2 linked regions of the Callithrix jacchus genome follow. The protein of the gene in region 1 purifies or fractionates together with the protein of each later gene. This does not show direct contact. Links are inferred from orthologs where the notes say so. Each region holds a gene or a part of one and is shown on either strand. Other genes may lie near its edges.

What was found. Proteins that work in one complex are often made in the same cells at the same time.
Region 2: the proteins of CDK13 (region 1) and CCNK purify together in Homo sapiens (affinity purification with mass spectrometry; 4 studies listed by BioGRID and IntAct, counting the BioPlex papers as one, with this or other methods). This does not show direct contact. The link is inferred for Callithrix jacchus from reciprocal best matches to the Homo sapiens genes CDK13 and CCNK.

Annotation. Positions count from the first base shown.
Region 1 is NC_133512.1:8,406,940-8,409,922, reverse strand, and holds the end of CDK13 (cyclin-dependent kinase 13), read right to left. Parts: coding exon 2,655-2,983; 3' UTR 501-2,654; downstream 1-500. UniProt on the Homo sapiens protein: Cyclin-dependent kinase which displays CTD kinase activity and is required for RNA splicing.
Region 2 is NC_133509.1:134,366,497-134,370,793, reverse strand, and holds the start of CCNK (cyclin-K), read right to left. Parts: upstream 2,801-4,297; 5' UTR 2,730-2,800; intron 1-2,729. Other genes in the region: SETD3 (actin-histidine N-methyltransferase), read left to right, coding at 2,868-2,947. UniProt on the Homo sapiens protein: Regulatory subunit of cyclin-dependent kinases that mediates activation of target kinases.

The DNA.
Region 1 (2,983 bases):
TTATCTTCTTAACTTGCAATCTGACTTACCTGCTTTTTTCAAAAAAACTTAAACAATATTATGTGTTCCTTAGATTTCAGTCAAATTTTCAGTAATGGCTGCTGTTATTACAACCTATAGTACTAGTGATTTCCCAACCTTGTCCTATCAATCCAAATTCACTGAATTAAAGTATTAAATACTATGGAAGGAAGCATTAAGAGTTTTGACTATCATATTTCATCAGTTATAAGACAAATATTTTCATATAACATGTCTGAATCTGGGATGTAGCTTACAACTGATGACATCTTAGTACTGTATTGTGGCTTAATTGGCAACATTTTTTCTTCTAAGGGATACATAAAAGACTGGTATGTCTCACATGCAATGATGTCTTAGGATAATATTAGAAGTTCTAGTTCAAATTTTCAATTTCAAAGCAACAATTTCCCTGTCCTCCCAGCCGCTCTCCCAACATGTCACTGAAATGTTTGATTAGAAAAACTATCCAAACACAGTTCAATTTTATATAAAATATTTAATTTTTGAAACACAGGCTATTCATGTCACATAAATATCTTCAATTGTAGGTTAGCTGCTTATGGTAAGCAGAATTATCAAGTGTGACTATTAAGAATAACTTAGATACTGTCACTTATAGGAAAGCCTAAAGCTCTAAGACTCACCATATTAAAATTTCAGATACTTGAATACTGTTGCTATTTTGCTAATTTCAAAATATTTCTTCACTTCCTGCAATGTAGTTTATAAGTTGTTAGTAATCAATATTCAAATAAAAGCAAAATATTTTTTTCTTCCATTCATTTCTTTCTCCCCAGTGACAAAAAAGAGTCCATCAAAAAATAAAATGGTCAACTGATAGCAACTTATTTTATAGTAGTAAAATGGTAAATTATCTCTTTAAAATAGTCTTACTGTCATCAAACTACAATGCTTCCCACATTGTTTTGAAATGAAGGTTCATAAGTTAGAGGGCACAGGGTTAACTGGCTTTAGAACTGGAGCAATACATATTCTGTAACAGTTGTCCCAATTTAAGATTCCAATAAAAAAAATAAGTTGCCAGAACAGTTAATGAACAAAATGATTAATTGGCACAACTCTAACTTCCAGTCAATTTTTCCATTTAGTAATAATGGAAACACTGGTTATTTACCTTTGGTTCCTTTCTAGAATTATTATAATTGTGTGTGTATGTGTGAGAATGAGTGTGCACGCAGTGAGACTTCACACCATTAGTTTAAATAAGTTTACTCCATTCTTTGATGCTCTTTATAAAAAAAGAAAAAGTTAAAATGAACTAAAGTTGTTGCTCTGAGTGGCAGAAGTCATGATCAACTTTATGGAAGGTGACAGGAAGGAATATCAAAGTTTTCATTGCCTTTTCTTTTTGCTTCAATAAATTCCATGTAGGCAACGTTTCTAGTTAACAAGTGAATAGAACTGACTTTCTTAAAATGGCAATTACGTAACTTAAAATATGGTATTTGCCACCCCTCCCCCATGAACTTTAACACATTTATGTAAGTTCTGTTATGAACTCTTGCTTCTATACTATGGCCTCCAATTATCCATGGCAAATGGAAACAGGGACTATATGCCAGCCTGAAAGAAAATGGCACTCTAAAATTCTCGTTCAGCTATTACTTTCAACCATTTAAATGACAAAACTTTTTAGAACTTCTCAGAAGTAACAAAAAGTACTGATTGCAGTTCTTCTCCCTTTCTTTGCTCTCACTCCCCTATCAAGAGAAGGTGGTAGTGAAAGGGAACACAGCCCAAAGACAGGCAGAAAAGGAGAGTGTGACAGGCAGAGGGAATGGACCTAACAGGAACTGAACAGGCAGCCCCTGAAAACTTGAGAGCTTCCTGCCTTTTCAATGCATTGATTCCTTTGAAAAGACAAATGGGGATAAAAAGTTAACTCTTTTTTTCAGACCTTACCTGTTAAGGCACTTACTTTCCCTCCCCACCCCACCCATAGTTTTCATATAAAACTCACTATTTCATTTGAATGCACTTTGCTAGGCTATGATAATCTGCAAAACAAAACAAAAATAACATTTACCATTTTTTTTATAAAACTGTTGCATCAAGAGAAAGGTTGTGTTTTATTTTCTGAAATGAGCACAAAGTACACCTTTCACAATAACACTGAAAGCAGGTGCAAAGACTGACAGTGACCTTTGACTAAAGGTAGCTTTGTAAAAAGAAAAATACCAAATAAATCAGTGCCCTTTCTGATTGTTGTAAAACTGGAGGTGGGGAGGGGCTGTTTGTTACATAAAAGTTGGTCCAAACTTACAAAAAAAGCACAAATGTGCATAGATCAGAAGATCTGCAAGAGGGCCATAAAAGGCTATGTCCCTAAAATTAGCATCCACTTAAAACTGCAAGAATACAAAATAAAACTGTTAACTAGAATTTGTGAAGATGTACAATTGATAGATCTAGTTTTCAGAACAGCATGAATTTAAGCAAAGGTTTTTTTTTTCTGTCTTTTTTAAACTATTGTATGCAAGACCCTTCTCCACATAAAAATAAAGCTGTTGTTGAATTAATATTATTCAAGTCTCTTGGATTGCTGCCTTAAATTGCAGCTAGAAAAGTCTTTCCAGATAAAAATGATGTGCCTGAGGAAAAACAGATACTCAGTATGGTAACCCTCTGCCTCTACCTCTGCCAGTTGATGTGCTAATATGTCCCCTGTATCCTTGTGAATATCCAGGTCCTTGGGCAGGAGAAGTCCAGGTCTGTCCATGCATGAGGCTGGGACCACTTGGGTTTTCCTGTAAGTTACCACCATAGTTATAGTTATGCATCTTTGCTGGCAAAGGGTGAGTACTCTCTGGCCCCGTGGAAGGGTCACTGCTGTTTGCCAGGACTGCAATAGGACCATGGCTATATTCAAATCTATGGTCCTTGTCTCCACTAAACAACATGGGACCAGCATTGAGGTAAATGTCTCCATATCCAGCTA
Region 2 (4,297 bases), on another chromosome or scaffold:
ATTAACTTGAGAAGCATGCTTCTTACATATTTAAAGTTGGTAGTAGAAAAGTGCTAACCAGGGTCAGGGCAAGACCAGAATCCTGTAGTATATCTCCAAAGACATCTCCCCGGACTTACATCAACCCATTAATCAACATTTTGGGTCTGGTAATTTGAATGGATATAATAAATCCATTTACATCTAATCCAATGCACATTTAGCTCTGTCTAGACACAGAATTATGTTCAGTGTCCTAAATAAACTTAAATGAACTTATGTCCAGCAATCCCCAATCACCACCAGTCTAGTAAACCGTAACAAAAGGAAACAGAATTGTGTCACCTGGCTTTTTTTTTTTTTTTTTTTTTGAGACAGGGTCTTGCTCTGTCACCCAGGCTGGAGGGCAGTGACACGATCACAGCTCAGTGCAGCTTTGATCTCTCACAGACTCAAGTGATTCCTGCCTCGGTCTCCTGAGTAGCTACTACAGGCATGCATCACCACATCTGGCTAATTTTTTGTTTTTTTTGGTAGTGATGAGGGCTCACTATGTTGCCCGGCATCATCTTGAACTCCTGAGCTTGAGTGATCCTCCAGCTCTGGCCTCCCAGAGTGCTGGTATAATAAGCATGAGCCACTAACTCTGGCCTCACCTGTCCTTTTCTTATTGAAACTTTCTGCTGGCTTGAGGGAATCAGCTTTCCTTTCCCAAGTTCTTATACACGTGTTGGCTCTTCCAACAAGATTCTAGAACAGATTATTAATAGGTTCCTAGCATCCAAGAGACATCTAATGGCTCTTGGTGAAAACTGAGACATTTATCAGACACTAGTCTTTTAACATTAACTGCATTTTTAGGATTTTTCAAAGTCTATCAATAATGATTTTACAATGTCATCTGCAATTACTCTGGTAAACAATTTGAGCTTAAAAATATGATCACTCTGTAATCTCAATTACCTTGAATTTAATTCCCTTAGATATTTTTTGTTCTTACCCAGTTTTAAACAAAATAAGCAGAAGACACTGTCCTCCCTTTTAGGCACTCAGCAGTCATTGCTTTAAAATATAATCTCCTGAAATGAACTAGCTCATTTAATAGGCCACAGACATGACCAATTTTTCTTTATGACATGCAATTTTAAAAACAGCATTTAAAATTTAAGAACCTCATTAACAACTCGAATAGTTTTTGTTCCTTGTTAGTACAAACTACAGTTTCAAAATGGAACAAATTTAAACAGAATTTGCCCAGAAATCAACTAATAAGCATGAATAATGCATGCATCACAATATAATCGAAATGAGATAAAAGGGGGAAAAAACCCTCAAAGACACCAGTGGTAGTCACTCTGAATAAAACGATCTTGGATAATTACTACATTCACCGTCAAGATTATTTAACAGGTAAGCATCCTAACGACACAACTTTAATCCAAATGTCTGTCAGTACTACTATCACTACTCTCATCCATCGGTTCTTTCACTGAGCAATACTGAGGGCTTAATAAACGTCAGGCAGTGTTCTGGGCGCTGAAAGCTCCTCGCTTTCATTCTAGCAACATCATTCATACAAGCCTTTAATGGGCACCTAAAATTGCAAGGCACTGTGCTAGCCATCTGAAAAGAGAGATTTAGATAGAGATACACAAACGTCACCAATTTTCCTTTAAAAATATAAAAGACTACCCTTAAGAAATGCTCTTATCCAGTCGTTCCTGGCCGAGCGCCGTGACTCACGCCTGTGATCCCAGCACTTTGGGAAGCCGAGGCAGGAGGATCAATTGAGGCCAGGAGTTCGAGACCAGCTTGGCCAATATGGTGACATCCCGTCTCTACTAAAAATAGAAAAAGTAGCCTGGCCGCGTGGTGGCGCACGCCTGAAATCCCAGCTACTCGGGAGGCTGAGGCTGGAGAATCGCTTGAACCCAAGAGGCAGATGTTTTAGTGAGCCAAGATCGCGCCACTGCACTCCAGCCTGGGCAACAGACAGACTCTGTCTCAAAAAAAAAAAAAGAAAAAGTCGTTCCTAACCTAAGATGACTTAGCGAAAGCTCCGTTTAACTGGCAATCTAAATTTAGGGAGCATTACCGAGACTATCTTTGGCAGACAATAGTTTGGGAGCTGTCAGATAACCTCTAGACTTACGGTCCAATTTTCTAAATAACAATTTCTCTCATAAAAAAACAAATTAACCACCAGAACCGGGTCCGTAAAGACGATGTCTCCACAAGAACGAAATCTAATCGCGGAAGTGCCTTTTCCTCATTCCTAGTCGCACCCTCGTTACGTGGCTCTTCAGACTCCAAAGTCCGAGTACCCTAGATATGGAACAATCTCCAAAAAGTCTCAGGCCTACCCAAGGTTGGGACTAATACGCCGCGAAATAACCGGGGAAATATGAGTACTCAGTAGCTATGAGATTGTGCGCGGGTGACACCCCTGTCCCTTTTGCCCAAGCCCTAGAAAGTCCAACTCTGACTGACCCCTACTGCGAGGGCCGCTACCAGTTCTAGGGTGCGCCCTGCTTCCCTGCCCCACCCCGGCGCCTCGGACCCTCTCTCCAAGCCGGTCCCGCAGCCCCGCGCCGCCCGCTAAGTTCAATGTGTACGAGAGGTTAGCGGAGAGAGGCGGAATCCGAAAAGAGAGACTCCGCCAGTGGATGGCGGCGGTTGGCCATAACCTACTCCGACCTCTGGATACGCGGGAGGTGGGCGGTGCTGCCCGCAGTCGGTGGGTCACTCACCCCTCTTTTCAGGCAAGCCCCTTAGCGACGTCTCTCCTTGCCGACCGCGGCCATTTTGCATGTGGAATGTCGGGGAATACGTCATCACGCTGCGTCTTGAGACAAAAACCAAGCGACCGGAGAGGCGGAGAGAGTAGGATGCCTGTCAACCAATGGGAAGAAAACAGAGCTCTCGAAAGCGGAACGGGCCGCCTTATTCTTTCTCGCCCGCCCCGCGGGTCAGTGGCGGCTGCGTGCAGGGGGAGGAGCCAGCCACAGGGCCCATCCCGTCGGTTCCGCCCCCCGGGGCGAAAAAGATTCTGGAGCAACCGAACCTGCTAACGGAACTCGGGAGCGTAGGCGGGGTCCGGGTCGCGCTTCGTCCAATCAGAGCTGGGGCGGGGGCGAACACAGCCAATTGCGACCTCGGGGTTGGCGGCGGCTGAGCCGTCCGCTCTCGCCCCCGGGAGCCGTCAGCCCACTGGCTGGAGAGGACCCCGAACGGAACGCCGGCTTGGCGGCGGGGCGGGGCCGCGCCCATGCGTCCGAGGCGCGGACCAATGAGCGGCTGCGGCGGCGGCCTGGGGGCGGGGTCTAGGGCGGGCGGAGCGGGGTTGGGCCGCGGCGGCAGGGCCGTCTCAGGCTGCCGTCCCGCCCCTCCTGTCCGGCCGCCGCCGTCGCCGCCGCCACCGCAGCCACTGCCACCGCCTGGGGGTTGGTTGAGGCGGACGGTGGTGTCCGGGCTGGAGTGCGTCGTTCCCGCTGCGCTAGGGGAAGCGGGCAGGTGAGTGCTGGCGGCGGTCTCTGCGCGCATGTGGCCCGGAGGCTGCGAGAGAAACTCGCGCTGCCTCTCCGAGCGTTACGAGGCCGCCCCCCGCCCTGGCTGGCGCCCCTCTGCCGAAGTCCGGCGCGCGCCCCCGCCCGGGTCCCTGCCGGCCGCTCCGGGCCCGGGGCTTGAAGGGGCGGGTGTGAGCCCCGGAGCTGGGGTAGGCAGGGCCCTGCGGGGTCGGAGGGCGCCGGTCGGCCTCTGCCCTGGCGCCCTGCGGGGCGGGAGGCGCGCGCTCGCTGCTGCCGGTCCCTTCTGGCGCCCACGCTCCCGGGCTCCGCGCCACCAGGTCCGGAGGTGGTGGCAGGTGCAGGGAGCGCTCTCCCTGCGCTTGCCCCACTGTCTCCGGCCCTCGCGCCCTCTCTCGGGTGGGGCCCGGGCCCCTGGCGCTGGTCTGCTCGGCTCTGCGTGCGGCCGGGTCGCGCTCTCATTTCCTTCCTTCCGTCACCCCGCTGCCCGGGGAAGGCTGTGCGGTTTTATGTTCCTTTCTGCGAGTCCTCGATGCCCACCGGGGTGCCCGAGGACCAGCCCCCGCCTCCCTTCCGCTCCGTCCAGTTAGAAAGACGGTCGTAGGAAATAGGTCGTCTTTCTTCCCACGCGACGCTGGCCGTGTTCCACACGCGCAGTGCCCTACTAGGGAGAGGCATTCCGTGCTTAGAGTTTGTCATTCCGCAGTTAAACTCTTCCTCCTCGTGGCTCCAGCCCGGCGATGCAACTCTGCCTTTCCCCTGTCTCCACTCGGGGAAAGGAGCTGACAGTGACG